Linked DNA regions of Arabidopsis thaliana. The protein of the gene in region 4 interacts with the protein of the main gene of each other region in a biochemical or structural test. Each region holds a gene or a part of one and is shown on either strand. Other genes may lie near its edges. The genes, in order: AT3G03770, AT2G02780, AT5G51560 and RHS16.

The links.
Region 1: the proteins of RHS16 (region 4) and AT3G03770 form a complex in vitro, tested with the Arabidopsis thaliana proteins (one large-scale study listed by BioGRID).
Region 2: the proteins of RHS16 (region 4) and AT2G02780 form a complex in vitro, tested with the Arabidopsis thaliana proteins (one large-scale study listed by BioGRID).
Region 3: the proteins of RHS16 (region 4) and AT5G51560 form a complex in vitro, tested with the Arabidopsis thaliana proteins (one large-scale study listed by BioGRID).

What each region holds. Positions count from the first base shown.
Region 1 is NC_003074.8:944,569-951,113, reverse strand, and holds AT3G03770 (Leucine-rich repeat protein kinase family protein), read left to right. Parts: upstream 1-1,875; 5' UTR 1,876-2,235; exon of another isoform or gene 2,236-2,318; 5' UTR 2,319-2,410; intron 2,411-2,611; 5' UTR 2,612-2,677; coding exon 2,678-4,013; intron 4,014-4,107; coding exon 4,108-4,241; intron 4,242-4,334; coding exon 4,335-4,575; intron 4,576-4,671; coding exon 4,672-4,877; intron 4,878-4,950; coding exon 4,951-4,994; intron 4,995-5,162; coding exon 5,163-5,274; intron 5,275-5,353; coding exon 5,354-5,666; intron 5,667-5,788; coding exon 5,789-5,811; 3' UTR 5,812-6,037; downstream 6,038-6,545. Other genes in the region: LBD20 (LOB domain-containing protein 20), read right to left, coding at 6,441-6,545.
Region 2 is NC_003071.7:781,135-786,601, forward strand, and holds AT2G02780 (Leucine-rich repeat protein kinase family protein), read right to left. Parts: upstream 3,789-5,467; 5' UTR 3,513-3,788; coding exon 2,252-3,512; intron 2,162-2,251; coding exon 2,040-2,161; intron 1,965-2,039; coding exon 1,718-1,964; intron 1,631-1,717; coding exon 1,437-1,630; intron 1,371-1,436; coding exon 1,333-1,370; coding exon of another isoform or gene 1,308-1,332; exon of another isoform or gene 1,254-1,307; coding exon 1,139-1,253; coding exon of another isoform or gene 1,076-1,138; exon of another isoform or gene 1,050-1,075; coding exon 798-1,049; 3' UTR 540-797; downstream 1-539.
Region 3 is NC_003076.8:20,943,964-20,949,471, reverse strand, and holds AT5G51560 (Leucine-rich repeat protein kinase family protein), read right to left. Parts: upstream 3,797-5,508; 5' UTR 3,666-3,796; coding exon 3,227-3,665; intron 2,652-3,226; coding exon 2,391-2,651; intron 2,284-2,390; coding exon 1,423-2,283; intron 1,341-1,422; coding exon 859-1,340; 3' UTR 533-858; downstream 1-532.
Region 4 is NC_003075.7:14,383,771-14,390,253, reverse strand, and holds RHS16 (root hair specific 16), read right to left. Parts: upstream 4,784-6,483; 5' UTR 4,624-4,783; coding exon 4,545-4,623; intron 4,265-4,544; coding exon 3,230-4,264; intron 3,130-3,229; coding exon 2,994-3,129; intron 2,933-2,993; coding exon of another isoform or gene 2,893-2,932; coding exon 2,821-2,892; intron 2,743-2,820; coding exon 2,671-2,742; intron 2,582-2,670; coding exon 2,501-2,581; intron 2,427-2,500; coding exon 2,284-2,426; intron 2,200-2,283; coding exon 1,946-2,199; intron 1,867-1,945; coding exon 1,740-1,866; intron 1,658-1,739; coding exon 1,595-1,657; intron 1,492-1,594; coding exon 1,302-1,491; intron 1,220-1,301; coding exon 730-1,219; 3' UTR 524-729; downstream 1-523. Other genes in the region: ATMND1 (Mnd1 family protein), read right to left, coding at 5,126-5,230, 5,327-5,406, 5,503-5,547, 5,689-5,740, 5,822-5,884, 5,966-6,073, 6,173-6,211, 6,321-6,437.

The DNA.
Region 1 (6,545 bases), on a different chromosome or scaffold from region 4:
ACACACACACACACTCCTCTAGGCTCTAACGTACGTCTTAATTAAGTATTTGCTTTCGCTTTCTACAAATCACTTTAATGTAGTGTATATATATTTATGTGATAAAAACAGAATAATGTAACATATGAATGCATGATAGTAATCAAGAAAAAAACATAAAATAGTCGTATAAATGTATTTCTATGAAATAATCTCAAATTACTTCACTTAGCCAATAAATTTTCATAATATATTAATTTTATAGTTGCCAGTCGATCAATTTTCACTACCAGTTAAAATAGTCGTATAAATGTATTTCTAGCCGTTATTAATTTTCTTTTCGTCTACCAAATTAAAGATCAATCTTTTTTTGTTAAGGAAAAAGAAATCGAAATTGGAAATTACCACGTTCTATTTCGTATTGTTTAAAGTTGGCTAGTCGATTATAAGCTGCACCAACAATTTTTAGTTTTATTTAAACTATGATTGTATACGACGACATTGACTATTGAGACATGCAACCAACAGATACAAAACAAAACTAACCAAAAAATGAAACACGCAAAATGAAGGAAAAAAATAAGATAAATTAAAATTAAATATTTATTCCTAAACGATGCACAGAAAAATCTAACAGAAGAAGATGCTTATATAAAACCAGGTGGACTAAAATTTCACAGAATTTTGTTTTCTTATGTTTGTAAGCATTTACTTTACTTGTTTTCTTATACCTGCAACTATGAATCATATTAAAAAAAACTACAAGATTAATAAAAAGATGAATCACTCATGGCACGTGAGAGTAGTCAAGAGATTAAGACATCATGCCTTAGTTTCAATTTAATATGATTAAATACACGAGTTTAGTTTAAATTGTTTGTTAATTTGATTTCCAATTCCTTGCATGTTATTCTTTATTGATCATATTATATGTGAGCTAATTTGTTGTATTAAGATTGTTTTCTTGAACTTTGAAAAGGTCGGAGAAGATTGGGACCTACATGTGTCACTTTAAAAGTCTGGTGTGACCTTTCTGATGGAGATGCCTTCGTGCGAAAGCTTACATTACAGTATGTGTCACAACTTCGCTTTCTTTTTATTTTCACCTTAAATATATATATTACCTCTTTCAGATTTAAGTTTTTGGATGGATCTTTTTTTTTTCTTTCAGTTTGGTTTTAAGCCTAGTTTTTGATAAAATTCCGGTGTAGTTGTTGTGGTTTTTATGTTTAGTTTGTTTTCAGCTTTCTTACATGATCAAAATTCAAAACAAAATTAGAGTTACACTAATTTACTTGGTTTTGTTTACTCATTCTTGATTAATCTTGTTTAACTTAGCATACCCAATTAATTGATAGACAGACTTTTCTCAATCAAATTAATATTCATATAAGAAACTTTAAAAAAATATCAAAATTAAATCTATACTATATAAAGACTTGTTTGCCTCAGACTCGTATTTGTAGATCATCCCCCTAAAGGCCTAAACCCTAAAAGAATATTTCTCTTATCATTACCTTTTTATCTTTCTTTTTTTTTTTGTCTTTTTACTTTTTCTTGGCCACAGCTTTGGCTGGAGTGGATTTCTCTTTGGTCCCTATTTTTTTGAAAGTGATAATATAATATGAACATATTTAATGCTGATAAAATAATTTACTTTGTGTACTGTATAAATAGTGAGACAACCAAAAATAAAAAGATCAGAAAAAAACGTCGGCCAGACCCTGTTGGATTCGCTTTTTTTTTTTTCTTTTTTAATTTGTTAAAAATGCATGTGAACACTTACAAGATTATTTTTTGGACAAAAAAATTCTATTTCTATTTTGTTTGTTTGTTTTAAAATTATTTTTGTAAAAAGAATTTATCGTTGTCTTCATCTCGTGATGGAGACTTAGAGAGGAGGACCAAACTCTCTGTCGTTAGCCACTGACAATTTACTAAATCGTATGGTTGCTAAAATGTTTTTGCATTGATTTTACAGAATTTGTTTTTGTTTATTGTCTATTTAAAAAATAAAAAAAGTTTGTTGGGTTAATATTGTTCCCAGAGTATCCTCTGTTTTATTCTTATAAGATATAATAATCACTCGTGAAGGAATCTTGAATGTTTTTAAAGCTCCTTGAGGAACTTTCATCTCTTACAGAGGATTTTCTTGGGAACTTTTCTCACTTTCTTCTTTAAATCAAGTTGCTACTTTTTTTGTTTCTTTAGATAAAATCGATATTCCATTCACAGTTACTTCATAAGTTTGCAGAGGTATTTCTTCATCTCAAAGGAAACGATTTGTCTTTTCATTTTCTCATTCTTCTTACTCTGATGAAACCAAATTTTGTTTCCAGGAAAAATAAAATTTAATCTCTTGTGCTCAAAAGTTTCCTGCATCTTTTCTTCTTGCAAGGTGTCTTAAAGAGGAGATTCTGTAACACATGTGGTGAGTTCTTCCTGTTTTTCTGGAATTCACATGCAAAAATCATATTTTTTTAGTTTGAAGATTGATTTCTAAGATTCTCTTCTGTTTAATGCATTAACGAGAAAGTGGTTAAAATATCAAGATCTTGAGAGTGGACCCTGTTTTGTAAGTACATTATATATAAATGTGATTCTTGAATGAAATGTGTCTCTCTCTTTGCAGGTTTTGATGATGATGCTTATATGATTTTATTTAGTAGTTGTGTGTGTTTTATGGTCTTGTGTGGCTATGGAGAAACTCTATTGTGGCATGCCGTTACTGCTTCTGGTTCTGCTTTTAGCTTCCATTGATGGCTCTACACAGCTACAATCATCTCAATCTCAAACCCTCTTGAGGCTGCAACAGCTTCTCTACTATCCCAAAGTGTTAAACAGCTGGAACAACTATACAGATTTCTGCAATTCTGAGCCAAGCCCTTCGCTAACCGTTGTGTGTTATGAAGATAGTGTAACGCAGCTTCACATTATAGGAGACAATGGAACTCATATGTTACCAAAGAGTTTCTCAATAAACTCGTTTGTTACTACTCTTGTTAAGCTCCCTGATGTTAAAGTTCTCACGTTTGTGTCCCTTGGGTTATGGGGTTGGTTACCTCAGAAAATCAACCGTTTATCCTCTTTGGAGATTCTCAATGTGAGTTCCAATTTCCTCTTTGGACCAATCCCTCATGAACTCTCGTCGCTTGCTACTCTTCAGACGCTTATACTCGACGAGAATATGTTTTCTGGTGAGTTACCGGATTGGATTGATTCTTTGCCGAGTTTAGCTGTGTTGAGCTTGAGAAAGAACGTGCTTAATGGGTCATTGCCTTCTTCTTTGAGTAGCTTGTCAGGTCTTAGAGTTCTTGCTTTAGCTAATAACCGGTTTAATGGAGCTTTGCCTGATTTAAGCCATTTGACAAACCTTCAAGTGCTTGATCTTGAAGGAAACTCTTTTGGACCGTTGTTTCCTCGGTTAAGTAACAAGCTGGTTACTCTTATACTCAGCAAGAACAAGTTTAGATCTGCAGTTTCAGCTGAAGAAGTAAGTTCTCTGTATCAGCTTCAACATTTGGATCTTTCCTACAATACATTCGTTGGTCCATTTCCTACTTCCTTGATGTCTCTTCCCGCGATAACTTACTTGAACATTTCACACAACAAACTCACCGGGCGGCTTTCAGCAAATCTTTCTTGCAACTCACAGCTGATGTTTGTAGATATGTCATCAAATCTTCTTACCGGAAGTTTGCCTACTTGCCTTAAACCGAGTTCCGGCACTAGCAGAGATGTTGTCTATGCAAGCAACTGTTTGGCTACTACGAATGAAGATCAACGTCCAGTTTCTTTTTGTAGTAATGAAGCTCTTGCTGTTGGAATCCTACCACAGAGGAGGAACAAAGTTTCCAAAGTGGGTATTGCTTTAGGTGTAACCGCAAGCATTCTCGGGGTACTTCTCCTCGCCGGTGCCTTATTTGTGGTTCTTAGGAGATTAAATGCTAAGAAAACAGTGACGAAATCTTCCCCAAGATTGATTAGAGAGAATGCTTCAATGGGGTACACATCGAAACTACTATCAGATGCAAGTAAGAGGATAAAATATCTCTCACATATTGTCACATAGATTACATAGAACTTGTCTTCATTGATAACTTGTGCTGTAACTGCAATACTTTGAAGGGTATATCTCTCAAACAATGAAGCTAGGAGGGCTCGGTCTTCCAGCTTACAGGACATTCTCACTGGAGGAGCTCGAGTATGCAACAAATAACTTTGAATCCTCTGCTTTCATGGGTGAAGGTTCTCAAGGACAGGTACAGCAGTGAAGCTTCAATCTTTCTTTAGCTAGTTTCCATTTTTTGAACAGTTGAATCAAACAAGATTTTTGTTTTCATTGTTCTTTTCAGATTTATAGAGGGAGATTGAAAGATGGATCCTTTGTGGCAATTAGGTGTCTGAAAATGAAGAAAAGTTGCAGCACACAAAACTTGATGCATCACATTGAGCTCATCGCTAAACTGCGGCACCGTCACTTGGTTAGTGTGCTCGGGCACTGCTTCGAGTGCTACTTGGATGATTCAACAGTCAGCAGAATGTTCTTTGTCTTTGAGTATGTCCCAAATGGAGAACTCAGGACCTGGATTTCTGGTACCACACTGAAACATCATGTGTTTTAAGAATGAAGATGATCATTATATATTTTTTAATAACTAAATCGGATTGTTCTTGTCTCTGCTGTGCTAGATGGGCACATGGGAAGATTGCTTACTTGGGAACAACGCATAAGCGTAGCGATAGGTGTAGCAAAAGGGATCCAGTTCTTGCATACCGGTATTGTGCCTGGTGTTTATGATAACAACCTTAAAATGACAGACATTTTGCTTGACAATAACCTTGCGGCGAAACTCAGTAGCTATAATCTTCCATTGCTTGTGGAAGGTCTTGGAAAGGTAAATGACGATGTCAAAAGTTCGAATGTTTTTGTTTCTTGAATTTTGAATCTCTTTTGCTTTCCTTTCTAAGGTGGGGCAAGTAGGATCTCGGAGCGGACCTAAAGGCACTCCAAGGTGTGTAATAATCTTCTTTACTCTGTTTCTCATCAGCTTGTAAACCCGGTTATATGGTTTAATCCTCTGTTTCTCAAAAGAATCAAAAACGGTTTATATGGTTTAATCCTCTGTTTCTCATCAGCTTGTAAACCGGTTTATATGGTTTAATCCTCTGTTTCTTAACAGCATCAAAGACGAAGATAAAATCGATATCTATGATTTTGGAGTGATATTGCTTGAACTTATAGTGGGAAGACCATTGAGAGCAAAGAGTCAAGTCGATGTTCTAAAAGAGCAGGTAACACCATTCGATATATATGTAGCTTGATGTGGAATCGCTATCATCTACTTTAAAAACTCTTTTTTATTTGTTGTAGTTACAAGCAAGCATTTCAGCGGATGATGGAGCACGTAGGAGCATGGTGGATCCAACGGTCCATAGAGCTTGTTCAGACCAATCACTGAAGACAATGATGGAGATATGTGTAAGGTGTCTCCTTAAAGACCCTTTAGAACGTCCTTCCATTGAAGATGTCCTGTGGAATCTTCAGTTTGCTTCTCAAGTTCAAGAAGGTTGGCTACAAAACAGCAATCCCTCGAGCAATCTCGGCTCGCCTTCTCCTGCTGCTTCCTCTCTTCCTCCTCCCTCTCGTTTACACGTAACAACACTCGAATCTCCCCGAGATTCAGGTATTTTTGAACTCGATCTTTTATGATCAATTGATTCAGTTCAGAATAGAATTTGATTGTTAAAGATTTGAGATTGAATAAGTTTATTGATCTGAGACTTATTTGTGTGGTTGTAATTGCAGGATGTGAAGAACATGAGAGGTAGAGAGACGAGGGTTTTTGTTTGGTCTTGTTCACTGATCACTACTCTTTGGAAAGAACATAACCTTTTTGTTTGTAATTTGATGTTTGTTTTTGTTTTTTTGTCTTTAGTTGTGTTGAGCTTAAACGATCATAACAGTTAATAATATAGTTAATTTTTCTTATAAACTTTACTTAAAAGAACAGTGTCGGTTAATTTTTATTCTTCAAAAGGAATACAAGTCCAACAATGGTGAGATAATTTTGGAAAATTCAATCGTTTTTTCTTCCTGTTTTGTTCAGCGAAAATAAATTAAAATTGTATATAGAAATTGAGATGGAACCGATTTCTAGGGTTTAGAAAAGATTTGCTTGATTGATTCTTCTTGTCCAAGAAATCAAAATAGAGGATAATGGCTGGTGTTGGATCATCAAATCCTTTACTTATTTATTAATTTGGATTCGTATGTAAATTCAGTTAATTCCAACTAGTATGATAATTAACCAATAACTACATGCATATATCTCATTCAAATATTTCACGACAACTCTACATGTATAGTATACGTCTGCTGGATATACTTATTCTCTTTCTCAACATTATTATAAAAACGGAGATATATTTAAATTAAAGACAAACCCTAGGTAATACATTCATCTCCGGTGAAAATCCTCCGCCGGAAATATAACCTTCGAAGCCACCGCCGTCGATCCAACAGCCACCGAAAAATCAGCACCGCTCTCTTCCTCATCCTCATG
Region 2 (5,467 bases), on a different chromosome or scaffold from region 4:
GAAGGAAGCTGGTGTGTATGTGTTTGTGATCATCGAGCGTTTGTCATGATCCTGTCTTCTTGTGCCTATCTATCTTGGAGGCTCAAGAGATTGGTCAAGAAGTAAGAAGCTAGTAAAAGCCAATGGTATTGTAACAAAATTTGTTTTGTGAGCGAAAATGCATTGATCAGTAGTATGTATGCTAGGTGAGGTAACTTGGCAAAGCCACTTGCTGTTTTCGACATCTTACCTAACCTGGGTATAGCTATGGTTATTATAGTTATGTGGAACACAAGCACTTGTTTTTAGCTAGCGATACAAGTCATAACAAAGGAAGTTTATAGAATGCTGGATGAGGTAGAGACTTCTGTATTGGAGATTGCCCGAAACACGGAGTGTGGTTGAGATGGAGAGGTTAGACGTGAGCATAGTGAGAGGTTTGCAGTAACTTTTGGGATTTTCTATAGTATTCCAGGCACAGAGATTCTTGTTATAAAGAACCTGTGAAGGTTTTTGAAGATTTTGATGTCTTCATCAAGCAGGTTAGCAAGATTGTAGACTGCTGATTTGTTTTAAGAGATGCACGAATGTTCAGCGAAAGCAAGCGCGAATACAACAGAAGAGTCTGCAATGTTGTCGAGCAAAGCTGGACACACTCTCTTACATGTCTTTGTGTGTTTTTCAACTCCTTTTGCTTTTTATTCACAGATTACTAAGTTAGCTAATAAAAGATATTTCAGGTAGTCCATGAAACTACATCTTGACTTGTTTGAAACTTATTATTGTTTCTACAGTTTTTGCCTCTCTTTATGATCATTTCATTCATATATTGCTTTCATGGATGATTCATGATTCCCACTGCTTGGTCTCCATCCTTGCTGCACTTGAATTGTATACTGTAGATTCCACACAACGTCTTCTATGGAAGGACGCTTGCTCTGATCTTCGCAAAGACAGTTGATAGCAAACTCTACTGTCGTCCTCAACGACTCATAAGCATATGATCCTTTAACAGATGGATCTGCTAAGCTGCTCAATACTGATGGTTCATCTCTCAAACCGTTCTCCAGCTGCAGGAAATAATAACATTGAGGTTCTAAATTTGTAAGCCGTGTCGGATTCTTAAAGATGAAAAGGTTCTGACTGAAACAGAACAGACCTGAAGCTTCAAACTTCCCATCTCTGAAGATCCTGCAGCAACTACTTTCCCTGTGATGATTTGTAGTAGTATCACTCCAAACTGGTACACATCTTCTTTCTCTCTATCTTCATTACTGCACATTATTCATTAACAAGTTTCAAAATTTGATAGAAGAGAACACATTTGATCATATCTTAAGAAACAACAACAACCTCCGAGGTTTTTTGGCTTGAGGCCTCTCTTCTCCAACCTAGAAATGCCATTAAATTTTCTTAGATTCAATTAATAGAAGAAGAAATAAAACAAAGTTTTATACCTTGGATGGTAAAGGAATAGTATAGCCACTGATTTTTACTGTGAGTGTTTCATCAAGCATGATGTTCTCTATCTTCAAATTGTTCCCAAAGATTCCTGGTGCTACTCCCATATGCAAGAACTGTATCCCTCGAGCGACTCCTATTGCTATCGCCATTCTCTGAGGCCATTTCAGTACCTCTTTCTTCCTACAGTCTGATCACAAAAATTCCCATAATGAATAACCATTTGAGTCTATGGAAACCTGAATATATATTCTAATCTTTTTCAGGTTATTATTACTTGTGAGAAAGTCCCGCAATGATCCACTAGAGATGTATTCTTGAACAATGAAGATGGTGTGTCCAGCGTGTTGATTGTGGTCTTGGTTACTGGCAATGGAGTGTCCAAGAACGCTAACCAAATGCATATGCCTTAGCTTTGATAAAACTTCCATCTGTTGAGCTAAGCTTTGTGGCAAGCTCTTCTGCTTCAGCTTGATAACTCGCACTGTCACTGGTATGCCTTCTCTTAGACAACCTCTATACAGCTGTTCGAATACCAAATATATTAAGTAATCTATTAGGTTCGTCGCCAGAGTCTCAAGTCAAGTTTTTGTTTTTACCTGTTCGCAGAACAGGCTAGCTGCATCAAAGTCGTTAGTCGCTTCTTCCAGTTCCTCCAAGGAGAAAACGCGGTACGGTGGCAAACCAATCACTGCAGATCTCATTGTCTGTGGTACACGTCCTACACTCAGAAAGATCCTGTTAATGGTTTTTGCTAGAGAAAGACTCAGTTTCAAGTGTCCAAGTATTAATAAGATAAGTCATTGTTTACTTGAATCTGGTAATGACTTAGAGCTGGCAGTTGTGGTGCTGCAAACAGAGACTTTATCAGAGGCATGTCTCTCATTGTTGCTGTTGTTCACTTCAAAAGGATCATCTTCTGATCTTGATCTTCTTCTTTTGAGGGCAATCAAAACCAACAGAACCAAAATTGCTGCAAGGATGATCACACCGATGATTATCAAAATCACTAACCCGAGTTTGATTCTTGCAGAATCTTTATCTTTAGCCTTGGGGATAGGTTCCACAGCTATTGCCTTGCTTGCTTGGTTTTGACAGAAAGAAAGCGGACGCTGATACTTCGCGTTAGGAGTGCCAATCAAAGACAAGCAGTTGAATGAGAAAAGCACTGTCTGATTACTGAAACTCTTTGAAGAGTAGCAAGAAGGAAGCTTTCCAGTTAAAAGATTGTGAGACACGTCTAAAGTTATAATCTTTGAGGAGGTGCAAGAAGAATTTGGAAGTGACCCGCTTAACAGATTCTGATCCAAACTGAGAATTTGAAGAGAAGGAATCGAAAACAGAAACTCTGGAATCGACCCGGTGAATTCGTTGGAAGAAAGGTCTAAACTTTGAAGGTTATTCAGCTTCTTGATCTGTTCTGGAATCTTGGATCTAAAGGAGTTGTTCTTCAATGAAACAGTGGTGAGCTTACTTGGGAGTGAAGGAACTTCAGGACCGAGTTTATTACCTCCCAAATCCAGCTCTTGAAGATTTGATAATCCTCTGAGATCATCAGAGACAAAACCCCAGAACATATTGTCTCTTAAAACAAGGCTTTTCAGATTCTTCAAAGACACAATCTCTTCTGGAATCTTCCCAGAGATGAAATTAGAGCTAAGATTGAGAGACTCAAGAGACGGTGATAGCTTAGTGATGATCTTAGGAGAAAGAGAACCAGAAATTCCGAGAGAAGTAAGAGACAAAGTCTTTAAGCTCGATAGTTGTGTAAGAAGAGTGAAGAGTTTATGAAAACTTCCAGAGAGCTTACTAGTTCTGTTCCCGGTGACGGTTAACTCTGTTACGTGACCATGGAGGCAGATGATTCTCAAGGAAGGAGACGGACGAATGTGACAGAAGTTGGTTGTATCAGTCCATGATTGAAGAACCTGTGGATATTGTAGTTGCTTCTGGATTTCAAGAAGAGTTTGTGATTCACTTGAAGCTACCTGAGACTCAGAGAGTACTGGAAGAAGGAAAATAAGAAGAAGAAAAGTGAAGGAAGATAAATGGATTTGAAGAGAAATCTGCATAGTGAAGATGTGTTTTGCCTTTAGAGAAACAGAAACTCACTGAAAGTTATCATTTTTCTAGGAACAAAGACAGATCTATAGGTAGTGTAGAGGAAAACTTTGGATCAAGAGAAGAAGAAGAAGAAGTAAATGAAAGTAGAAAAGCCAATTAAGGTGGAGGCAATAAATGCAATCTTTAAGTTCTTAAACTTGGTTTGGTTGTTTGTTCATTACTGCACATTGCACAACCTCAACTTGACAGACTGTTTTGCAATGAATCCAAGAAGATGAAATGTTTATTTATTTGATTTGATTACTACTATAACAAATTAACAATAAGAACTTGTATTTCACATGATTTTTGCTTTGTTTTATTAGTAAAACAAGTGCTTTTGGTTATATATGATTGATCAGATAAGATTATAGAGATGTTTCATTACTTGTCGGTGATAGGTAATGAGGATTAAGAAATTTATGTCGTGTTTTGTCTTCGAGAGAGAGAGAGAAGCCATTAGGTTTGTGTCTTTTCTTTAAAAGTGTGGTTAGAGATTCTACCAAATGTCGAGCTGTTTCTTTTATTCTGATGAACTGTTCATTTACTAATGTTAGAAAATTTGAATGGATTTTATATGATCAAGCACATCTGCACATGCAAACGGCCTTGGAATAATCGTCACTGCGAAAGTATCATTTAATATTTTCTGCAACAGACATTTTTTTTTTATCGAAAAATATGCATTTAAAATTCAATTATTTAATTTTTATTAAAATTCAATTATTTAATTTTATTAAAATTCAATTACAAATCAAGTTTGACAAAAAAAAAGAGAGGTTATTTTGGGCTTCATACGTGTAACATTTAGCCCGTATATTATATATAATACGGTTAGGCCCAAAATTGTACAACCTTTGAGTCCATATATATTTCCAAATATTTTAGTTTCTATATGATTTTTTTTTTTTTTTTTTTTTTGACAAGTAATTATACAAAAAATGATTTACTTAACATTGGGACATATATGTACTATGCTTATTCCTTGTGAATGCTAATACAGTAAATTATTTATAAACTAATCCTCGATAAATTACTATTTTTACAAATTAATAAATTCTTGACGTTTTCAATGTAATAAATAACACAAATCAATGAAATTATAAAATAATAAGTTTTTAAAAACTCTTACGTAAACATATGATCTCATCAATATCATAAATTAATAATTTTACACTTATTAATATATATATATATATATTTAATTAAATTAGTGGGATTTAACTCTAGTATTGTTCATTTTTCTTAAATTTGTATAAAATTTTTAGTAGAGTTCATTTCTAATATTTTTACTATATTGAACAAAGTGTTTTTTGTTTACTAACTTAACAATTGGTTTTTTATTTGTAATTTATTTTTGAAAGACATTGATTATAAAGACAAAAACTACTTCTCACATAGAAATTTTAAAAAATTACAAAATTAATAAAATCTCTCTATAAGATTTATTAATAAATTAATACCTTTATAAATTAATTAGAATTTATCGGTTCCGAGATTATTAATTTATTAAGGTTTAAAACTGAGCCTATAAACAAAAGAGGAGGAACAAGATCGTATTTCTAGGGTCTCAAACTACAAAAATGTAATGTATGAATTCATTGTAATCTATTTCAGTTTGTTTTTTACTTAGCTATTTAGGATCCTAGAATTTATTTATGAGCTTCTTTTGATTAAACAAAACTTTCGATTATTGTGTTTCAAGAAAAGTAAACTTCTCGGATCCTAAAACTTTGATTAGACGTCATAACATGTTTTTTATTCAGAATCTGATTTGCAGCTTTTTTGCCTTTCATTTACTGTTTTACACTAAATATATAGACAATCATCAAAATTTAAAATCTTCTATTTAGTTTTAGCTCATTTATTAAAGATCAACTGTACAAAAGTTGTAAAACAAATTCCAGTGAATGATGGTAATAAG
Region 3 (5,508 bases), on a different chromosome or scaffold from region 4:
AGAAGAAGAAGTCTCGCTTATAAATCTCCACGACTCGTTCGTTTCTATGGAAACAAATGGTGTTATGTGATCGAAGCCTTTTGCTACCGTTAGATCAAGCGGTTTGAGGAGAAATGGACGGTTAGGATTAGTTACTGATTAATTAGCTATATCAACAATATCTTCCTTCCTTAGATATTTGGTATAATCCTTTTTTGACCAATGAAAAGTATAATTTGATATTTTTTTCTGTCTTTTGTGGACAACTAATAATTTAATTTATTTCTTTCAAATAACTCAAGTAATTCTAAAAATTTACTAGGTCCAAAATCTAATCCTGAAGTCTAGAAAAATCATGTAAATTATTCGAATCTGGTGGCCAATGCTAATAGTTAACCTTTGACTTTATATTTATAAATTTGTATCTAGATCTAGATGACTAATAAAGACTTAAAAGTTAAAGCTCATATCCAAATCTAAATCAAAACCATCTAACAAATCAATTCTTTTGATATTGATTTGATCAATATCAGAAAAAAAAATGTTATACGTTATTTTTTTTCTATATTGAATTATTGACAATAAATTGGTTCAGAAAGTTATAAAAAAAAAAGAAGACAAAGTACCATAAATATTTTCCATCTACCGAAATTTTTTAAAAGTAATGTACTTGTCTTGTCTTCTTCTAAGGTTGAAGAGCTTAACATAAACACAAATCATACAAACCAATAAAGTACAACACGTTGAACAGTTTTTAAACGTTAATGGGAAGGGAAAAGGCACCTTTTTCTTAACCCTAAACACAGGAAAAGGTGACTAACAAACCCTTCCTTAATTGATTCCTAAGGTACACATTACACATTTGCCTCGAGAGAGTTCTCAGAGACAGCTACTACAGTTACCTAGCTCATGAACTACAGCTTCCACGGATGGTCTTTCAATGGGAGATTCATGAGTGCATAGCCACGCGATTCTAGCTAGCTTTGTGGCTTCATATTCAAAGAATCTTCCTTGAAGATTTGGATCTATGTAATCATTGAACCTACAAGCTTCAGTTCCAAGCTTAACAAGATGCCTAACCTTCTGTTTCCCGGAGATTATCTGAAACACAAGAATCCCGAAAGCGTAGACATCGGTTTTCTCGGTGAAACGTCCGGTTGTGGTGTATTCTGGAGCGAGGTAGCCCATTGCTGCACTGTCTTTGAGTGCAGAGAAGACAATGTCGTTTGTGAGAAGTGTGTGGAGGCCTGAGTTTGAGAGTAGAGGACTGTATCGCTGGTCGATTAGAACTTTCTCCGCTGAGATGTTTTGGTGAACCAATGCTGGCTTGCTTCCTTTGTATGAATGTAGATAAGCAATCCCTAAACACAAAACATCAAACACATAAACAAAAATGAATCAAGAACGCTAACAAAATTGGTTCGGCATAAATAAAACTCATACCTTTTGCGATGCCTTTAGCAATGGATACTCTCGTGGACCAATCAAGAACATGCGCATCACCATCTTTGAGATCAAGATAGCTCAGTAAATTTCCATTAGGAGCAAAATCATAGATGAGAAAACATTCTCCACGGCCTCTTGAACAGCAGAAGCCTCTAAGTTTTGACAAGTTTTCATGTTTCAGAGACGCCAACATGTTGAGTCCTTTCAAGAACTCAGGTTCTTCAGATTTGCAACTTGTTTTACTAAACCGTTTGATCGCTACAGCAGAACCATCTCTCAAGATTCCTTTGTAAGTCGCAGAGAAGTTGCTTCTTCCAAGCAAATTCACTTCTGAGAAATACTGTGTAGCAGTTTCAACCTCTTCAAGATTGAATCGAAAGCTCTGGATAACTTCTTGAGCAAAGACACTGAGATTCCTATTGTCTGAAAGTGGATCCCAACCATTAGTATATTCAAGACTGGCCAATGGAGAACCATTGTTCTTCCTAAAACCTCCTCCTACGGTGTTGAGACGGTTGTCCGACATTTCATAAGTGGTTGAAAGCTTCTGTTTGCGTCTGCGATAATGCGTGAACAAGAGGATGCTAATAGCAGACAATGCAATAGTCGAGACAACCAAACCAATAAGGATTGCACCTTGGTGAGATTTTGGAGGAGTATTACAGTTTGTTCCATTACAAGGTGACCGTAGATTAGCTGATTCTGGTATATCCCGGGATGGAAAACCAAACACGGTTGCACCGTATGGCTTAGGTTCCTCAGGAGCTGTGCCATTGCAAGATTTCAACGGCGAGAACTCAGCTCCACATAGTCCCAAGTTGTTTTCAAACGAAAAACCTTCATTTAATCTCTTCAGTACTGTCAAATCGGTACAACAGAGAAAGAAATATAAACCAAAATGAGAAACACTTCACAAAATACGCAAAGTTAGTTTCAAAGATCATATAGTGAATCAGTTTTCTAACCAGGAGGTACATTGCCAGTGAGGGAGTTGTTGCGGATGTCGAGAACTCGAAGCAGAGGAGGGCTAGCTAACTTGCCTGGTACAGAACCAAACAAATGATTGTAGCTCAAATCTAGCCGCTCTAGAGCACTTAAATCTCCTAAACTCGCAGGTATAGCTCCAGTGAGTTTGTTAGATTGAAGAGCAAGAACACTCAGCTTCCTCAGTGAACTAAGCTCCCTAGGAATGCTTCCAGTCAAATTGTTGTAACAGAGCTGCAAAACTACACAACAACATAGACCAAAAAAGGAATGAAGCTTAGCTTTGACTTACATTAACTTAGAACTAATTCTAGATTTAGAAACCTGGTCCTGCTAATTAAAGCTCAAATATAAAGCCTTTTGAAAGTAAGTGAATCAATTATCTAAATAAACAAAATTAATCAAGAGAAGTACAAGTTATCTTCAATTCAAGTCCATATTTTGGGACCAGTAAGCCATTTATGGTTCCAATTAAAAGTTTGAATCTTAAAAAGTTCTTGACTATTCTTCCTTACAGGAAAATTACAAAAAGAAAAATCCTAACAAAAAGACATGAAAAGGACGTTTTAAAGACAGATCATTAAAGCATTAAATTCCAAAATCATCTAATTCAAATAATTTCAACTACCAGAGATAGTAATGAAGTAACTAAAACCCCTAAGACAAGGAGCTCAGATTTCTAGGTTTCAAATCTCCACAGAACATTGATTAATCTTGGGACAAGAATTTTGCAGAAACCAAAGATCTAACAATGCTAAATTTAGGTTTTAAGTTTAATCAATGATTAAGATTAAAATTAAAGTAAAAAAGAACTAACCTTGCAAGCCTTGCATCTTCCCAATGTTTGAAGGAATCTCACCGGAGAGATTATTAACATTGAGATAAAGATCCGTAAGTTCCGACAAGTTACCAAGTTCTCTAGGAATATCTCCAACAAGAGCATTGTAGTGCAAGAACAAACCCGTCAAATGTTTAAGCTTTCCAATGTTCGGAGAGATTTTACCAGATAAGCCTTTCCCTTGTAGAGATATGTTAGAAACTCGTCCTTTCCAGTCACAACCAACACCTTCAAAGTCTTTACACAGATCTCCATTAACACTCCATGAAGCTAAGTGTTTGTCTTCTGGGTCAAGCTCTGTTTTAACCTCCATCAATGTCGCTAACTCGTCGGTGATTTCTGCCATGACTTGGTTGCTGAAGTGAAGGAAGAGAAGTGGAAGAAGAAGAAGATGAAGCAGCATTTGTGTCGCCGTCATTTTATTTCTAGGGTTTGGTTTTGAGCTTGAAGATAGCAGCTTCAGAAAGCTAAAGGAGATGTGAAGAAAGAATTAAAGGTTCAGTTTTTCAAGAAGAGGAGAGAGAAGATAAAGACACAGAGATGTCGCATGCTTTTGTTCCATTCAGACAAAAGAAAAAAAAAAGTGTTTGTGTTTTGGAGATACCAGAGATGGTTTAAATCTGATCGTTCGATGTTTTTGTGTTTGATATGAATCGTTGGATCTCTTGGGATGTTTTTAGTTATGGTGAGTTGGTTTTTATGTTATCTTATCTCGTTGATGTTGGTCCACTCTGACTAGAGCAATGCATGTTCTCTTTTTTTTTCTCCTTAGTTTATATATATTTCAAATTCTATTTCTTACAACATTTGTAATAGAATTTTCAAAATTTATTATGAAGAATTTGTTGTACTTGTACATACGAATTTTCTACAGTAAGTCTATAAATTGTATTATGATCCAACTTTTGATATCTTTTGTAATCGTAAATAATTTAGCTAAAAATGGTAAACAAGAAAAATGAAGGTCAAAACAAAAAGATCCCACATAGATTTTGGGAAAGTGGAAAAGCTCTTCTAAATAAGGCAATCATTCAATTATGCTGCGATGAAGCTAGGAGGAATATGACCTAATGACCATTATATTTTGGACACACTAAAATGTTCTAATTTGCCCCAATAGCCGTTGTTTTAATTGGTTAGGCTACTTATTTTTGAATACTAATAATCACAGCTAGATTTTATATTTAACCAAATATAGTCATATAATCCTAAATGTAGTTAAAGACAATCCTAAATTATATTTTAACCAACACACAATCGCAAATATAGTCGTGTAATCCTTAATGCAGATATAAAAAATCAATTTAACTTAAGATGCTAATAACATATTTATAAAAAAAATATAACAAGTCTGAATCTTATATACACAAAAAGAGATGTGTCGATGGAGTTGGGAGACAATTTGTAAATTGAAAGCACAAGCAATGCAATGCAATCTATTAATCTAATAAGTGACTGGGCGACGAATTCGGAATGGAAATCATGTTCTCTAAATTGGGCTTTAAACAATATTGCGTGAAGCAAGAATAATAAATTTGGGCTTTAGAAAATTGCTAAAAGGCCCATTATCAAATACCCAAAAAAAAACTAGTTTCTGTGTCGGAATTGTATTGAGCTACCGTCTACCGATCATGGCATACCGCATACTTATCTTAAATTATTAAAATTGCCTGTCATTATTCAGTCATGACTAAAATATATAAAAGAGAGCAGAGATTCATCGTAGTAAAAAAAAATAACGACCCAAAAATTATTTTACATGCTTTATGTGACTTTCTCATTCCTTAATGATTACACATAAATCCCTGAATTCATTTTATCTCTTATGCTATCATGAAGTCATGAACTATAGAGACGGTTAACGAATTTGCATTCTACCATATTACTGAAGTGATGCAACATGCACGCACTTTAAATATAAATTTGCATGCAGAGAAACTATAAAAGGAAAATTGGCTTGAATTACTTAACATGAATGAAACTAAAAATATTAACGAGGTTCGATTATTTTGATTTTCACACTAAATTTCAAACTATATATTAAATTGAAGTCATTGAAGGTTATATATATGTGAAGTTGTTTTGAATCTTAACGCTTAAATAGTCATTTCGGATTGTGATCCCACTAAAAACACTCATTCAGGATTATGAGATTATCTAATAGTACTACAATTCTTCGTGAGCAAAAGAGAAGATCCTAAAAATAATGTTTGCGTTTTCACTTTTCACTCGTTTTCACCGAAGCTGTAATAATCACTCGA
Region 4 (6,483 bases):
TAAGATTGTAGTAGAGTAAATTCTCAAAGCTTTATTTTCTTGACTGTACAAATTTTAATTCATTAAATAAATACAAGAAATTGAAATTATCAACATAAATATATAACAAAAAAACAAAGATAAGTTATAAAAAAACAGATAATTATCAAACTTAAAAAAAAAAAACAATTTCTTTTATCAAGAATTCATAGATTTTTTTTCTATTATCATAATATATTTATTTAAAATAGTAATACAAGGCATTTTATTTACTATAAATAAAATATTTTATTATAATTATTATATTTGTTAATCTATTTTTTATAAATATTTAAAATAAAAAAACTTACAGCAATAATTCTACAGCAATAAAAATTACAGTTATAGCCAACATAGTTACAACAAAATTTCTACAGCAAGAAATAATCATACCGTATAATTCTGTTTTAGTTTTCTTTGTCCTTTAACCACTTTTCTGCTCGATTAGTTTATTGAAAAAAAAAAAAAAACATAGACAACTTGCTTGTTCTTACAATTTAATGTTTTCGTGGTAACAAATTTTCTTATAAGAAAACAAAAACGAATGAATCTTTAAACCAAAAGAATCAAATTTAAATCATATATGATCTTTGAAAATAACAAAATAAAATAAAATGAGAACCCATAAATGATGAATCAAAATAAACTTTCAGTGACAAAAACAAATGATGAATCAAACCTTGAGTTAGTTAAAATAACTTATTTCTCACACTACCTTGCCATTGGGCCAAACGTGGAGTAATCTCCAAAAGAAAGTGAAACCGATCCAGATGAGCTATTATATTCATTGCTGCTATAATTCTGAACCGTCGACTTGGTCTTCGTGTACTTCTCTTTCACTACTTCCTTCTTCTCATGATTGCTTTTTGGCTCACGAGCTAGCTCGGCAGCTAAGCACTGTTTCAAGTCAGACACGATCTGGTTTGTGTTTGGTCTGTTGGTTCCTCTGTCTCTGACGCAAGACATTGCCACTTCCACAAATTTCCAAGCCGAGTTTGAGGAGAAGTCGCCGTGAAGCCGTGGATCCACGACACCATCTATGTCTCCCATTTTGAGGAAAGGCTCGACGTAGTGAACAACGTTCATTTTTTCTCCGTCGTCAGTTTTCATTATGGATCTCTTGCCGGTTATGAGTTCAAGGAGGACGATCCCAAAGCTGTACACGTCGCTCTTCTCGTTTAGCTTAAACGTGTTGTAGTACCTATTTTGAAACCAGTTTATGATGAGACCAACATGACCAAAATGGTAAAGATTAAAAGTGGTGATGTGTTAAGGAAACTTACTCAGGATCGACATAGCCAGGAGTGCCCATGACAGCAGTCACAACGTGGCTGAGATCATCCTCAGGGAAGACCTTAGAAAGCCCGAAATCAGCGATCTTGGCTTCCAAGTTATCGTTTAAAAGAATGTTTGCTGTTTTAACGTCTCTGTGTACTATTGGTGGCCTGCAGCCATGATGAAGATACTCCAACCCTGCCAAGGAAAACAAATCAATAAGGGGATTTACAACCAGACTAAACCGGGTTTGATGTCTCTTAGCTTTTGAACATTTCAGGATGTCAAAACTGGGACCAACCTTGTGCAGAGTCTATGGCTATATGGAGTCTCTTTTCCCAACTAAGATCCTCTGCATTCTCACCTGAATATCCGTAAACAAAACATCCGTGAGCGCAAAGGCAGCGAAAATTGGCAATAGAGAGATCGAGAGAGATGAAGAATACTTGAAAGATAATCTTGCAAGTTGCCATTGGCCATGTACTCGTAGATGAGAGCCATACTGCGACCATCATCGCAGTATCCAACAAACGAAGCTAAGTTCCGGTGATGGACTGTCAAAAGAAGCTCCGCCTGCATACATTTTACACTTCAGCAACCATAAAACAACATTGTCTAATTTATCGGATTAATGATTCTAGTGTTACGTTACCTCGACTTGGAATTCTTTGGAGACCTGGGATGATGATGATGATGATGAAGATCCTTTAGATTTTCCAAAAGAAGAATCGTTGATCATCTTTACAGCAATTTCAGTTCCATCTTCAAGGGAACCAAGGTACACAATACCAAACCCTCCTTTACCAATCACTTTATTGAAGTTGTTTGTAATACTAGAGACTTCACTATATGTGAACCTTCTCTTTCCCGAAGGCAGAAGTGGTCCTGAATATGCTCCTGAATACACTAGGAAATTAAACACTCGTTTTCTTTCAGCATTAATTCTACCTTATTAAATTTAAATCTAAGTAAAAGACACTCTGTACTTACTTATTTTGCTTTCCCTTCGCATGATGCATATGATAGCCAAGGCGGCAATGAGAATAATCACTAATGTGGATACAACTATTGGCACCATGATTCTGTTCCCGTCCCGACATGAACGTGAGTGACAAATGTTTTGTTCATCGACACTGGAGACAAAGAGGAAATCAATAAGCTTTTGAAAATGGTAGAGACGCGGCAAAATGACTATGGTTCCGTGTACCTGAGTGCAAGTCCATTAGCCGTTGCTCTTTTCCTAAGAGATCTTGGGATAAACCCAGTCAAGTTATTTCCTTTCAAATTCCTGCGACACAAATTAATGTCAGAGACAAAATACTATTTTGATTGTCTATCAATACAAACTCAACGAGGTTCTCTATGTGCTCAACTCACAGGGACTTCAGATATTTTAGATCAGCCAAAAATTCCGGCACAATTCCTTTGAGGTTGTTGTTTGATAAATCCCTGGGAAAACAATGCACACCACTATTATAGTTACTGTGAATAAAGTGGTGGCAAGTTTCAATGTGTTTGTATACTTACAATGACTCAAGAAGGGAGAGATTTCTAAATGCGAACGCTATTGGTCCATGTAATCCACTTGAACTAAGATTTCTTCTCGCAGCAAAATACAGAAACAAGCTCATCAGCAAAACTTAAGTTTGAGGGAAATTACACAATGAGTTTTTTCAGGTTGAAATGAATGAATGACTTACAGGGACTTGATTTGATAACTAGAAGTGTTGTAGCTGCATCCAATACCTTCCCAAGGGAAGAGTCTGGGAGAGCAAGGATCACCAGTCCAAATCTTATTCACTTTATACGTTGATTTTATGCTTTCTATGGCTTGAACTGCATTACCAATAGAAAATGGAAAACTGTGAGTGTCAGTGAAAATTAAAGACCAGAACAAAATATACGTAGACGACTAACAAAGTAGAGATGAACACACCATCGTCAATTCTGGTGTAAAATTCATCCAGAGATTGTGCTGAAAAAATCTCAATAGCATTGAGTATTGGTGGACGCGTTGACTCTGCGGTCTTCTGAACAGAAATCCAGTGATCTTTACCAGTGAAAGCTCGTGAGTTAGACACTGTCATTGAATACTCAGGAGAGGGGTTAAAAGCTCCTGAAACAGGCGACCCATTCCAGAATATCTTGATTTCTCTGCTCTCATTCCTCTTGAGATTTTCAAGTTCTGCAAAATAAAGGTACGCATAAAACCGAGTATCTGGATCGCTTGATGTCCAAGACAGTTCCAATGGTTCATCGTCACTTTTAGGCGAAGCAGCTGTCTTAATAACTTCATCTGGTGGCCTATAACCAGACTGAAAAATATCGATATACCCAGTAGTCATAGTTGTATTCCAAGACACTGGAGAGTACGGAGACCAAATACGATCATATGTATCCTTTTGGTACCGTCCTGTTCCATTCAAATATCCTGTATCCCATCTTTGATAGAGTACCAATGAGACATTTCTTCCAAACTCAGTTCCATAGATGGAGCTGTTCATTGGTCGAAGCTCCAACGCTGAAATAAAAGGAGTTCCTTTACCTTTGTTCACAAGGCAAACATATATTGTATCTGACTCTGCAAAGCTGAGGATCTCCTTGATGACGTTCTCAGAAGCATTTCTGAGTTTCACCGAGGTCCAGAAATTCACGTTTACGTAGAGATCAAACTCAGGTAAAGCATTTTTACCATCGTAGTTTCCATACATAAACGAAGCTCTGATGAGATAAAGATTCCCTTTTCCATCGGAGGGGGTTAAGGTGTAACAGTTCCTGTTTCCTTGAGGAAAAGATCTTACATCAGCAAGCGGGAAAGGCAAAACCGGGTTTTTCGGGTAACCGTATTCTTCAGAGACGTTCAGATTTACTCCAGCGTTGATGAAAGGTGCATCCCAGGTGTAACTGATACCAGTATCAGTGTCTACATAGTTAATATTAGGGGGTGACCCACAATCTATGCTGATGAAACCTGGACCAGAAGAAGGTAAGGGTTTTGATTAATTCTACAACGTTGAGAAAATTTTCATCAAAATTCCAATGCAGGTTTAAATTTTAGAACCTAAAGCATTCAATCATAGAAACAGACTTGGACCTCACTTATCATGTCAAACCAATAATCAGAACACGGTTTTGGCCAAAATGCAACCACATATATCAAAACTTCAAAAATCTTTGGTCTGAAGATTGCTCATTTTCAAATCAAAACAGACTCTAACAGAGGAAAATAAGCGAGAATGAGACTCACGAACCTGCTTGGCCTTGGCCATGTACTACAATGGCAATGGCAATGACGGAAAAAAGGATGAGAAAAACAGAGTGAGCTCCCATGTTCTTCTTATTTTGTAAAGCTCAGCTCATCATCGTCAGAAAAACAGACAACCTGCGTTTAAGATAACACAAAAACACAAAAGACTAGAAAGTACAAAGTCTATGCCCATTTCCTCTTCTGGTAGCAACAAAATTGACCTGGAGGTGTATAACATAAGTGCTGCTCACGACTGAAAAAAGCGGCCAAGAAAGAATATAAAATGGTAATACAGCTATCAAGAAGTAACCAGTGGGTCAACAACTAACGCATGATATATATATAACTCCAATAAAATATTATAACAAAACATAGCCAAGCTTGGACATAGCCGACAGATACAAAGAAAATAAAAATCTTTTCTGACCACAGAATTTGTAACCGAGTTTTGACATTAGATGATTGGGTCACATAGAGAATTACAGACTGTTGCAACCTTTAAAACCAGAAAACTTAAAAGGATAGTGAAAAGATTTTTTACTTAAGCTATTGTTTCTTTAACTGTTATGCTGGAGAGTATTAGAACTAAGCTTCATCTTGTACTAGCTGCTTTGCGGTATCAGCTTCATGGGATGAGCTCAAAGGGAATGATGATAACTCTATGTAATCAAAGTCCTCAGTGATTCCCGCCTGAAAGTTACCCAGCTGATTTAGTCTCTCCTTCATGTATGAGAATGTGAAATGTGGAATTTATAGCCTTTTGAAGTGAAAAGATCTGGAAGATACCTCCGTGTATAGATGTTCTAGCTGTTCCTTGGCCTGGGGGAAGTTGTTTGAACACCATTGTCGCAGTGTGAAGATGTTATCTGAGTAAGTTTGAAAGAATTATAATCTAGGCTGCAGTGAAAATTACGTAAGTATTAAAACTGAAAACACATTCCCAAGTTTTAGAAATGAAATACCTGTCCATCTGTTAGCCGACTGGTGAGCAACTTCAATTGCATTCCCTGTCAAAATTAGAAGGAATATACACATTGATACAGCTAGTAAAGCACAAGATTGATTCTTATTTCTGCTCCACGAAGACCGGGAAAACCATATAGGAGATCTAACACAAAACAAAAGTAACGTATTATGCAGAACTTAACTCTTTGCCTCCAAAGTAGCTGGATCGTTGTCAGCAAATTGTACCATCTCGTTCTGTTTAAGAAGAAGAAACTGTTAGCAACTTGTTAAGCATGTGAATAGCTCTATGCAAACAGATAGTCTGTATAATCTGACCTTCAGATCTTTGTGTTTCTTTTCAATATCTTTGAGTTGCGTCAAGGCCTCTGTTCGTTCCTCCTGCAGCAAGAACAGCAATTCTGGTGAAAAGCACACGTAAGCTTATTCGAGCATTAATTCTACAATACTGAAAATACTTACCGATTCTTCCCTTCCCTTCTTTAGGGCCTCACACTGATCAACAAGTTCTGCTAACCTTTTGTTACTACCCTGAAGATCAGATTCAAGTTTCTGGCGAACACTCCTAAGCTGTTCATTCAAAATGAGATCAGAAACAATGAATTTCGCTATGCTCAAATTAATATGAATCTTTTTGATGTCATCTCAGGATACAGAACGGTGACTCACTTGATTGCCAGCACAGCTGGGAAGGCTCCAAAAGTAGATCTTCATTTGCAAAATAATGAACACCGTCAAACAACATATAACAGAGACAAGGACTATATGGCAACAAATGAAATAAAAAGATCCAACATAGGAACACTAAGCTACTCACAGAAATTCCAATCTTGTCTTTCGCAACAAGATCATCATCGACTAAACTCTGGATAACATCTTTCACAGACTGACTAATTACACCCTTCTTCGGCCCCATCTTCTCAAGTTCCTTTAGCTGAAATTTTTTTACAAAAGTAGAGACCCATAAGTGCTTGTATCAC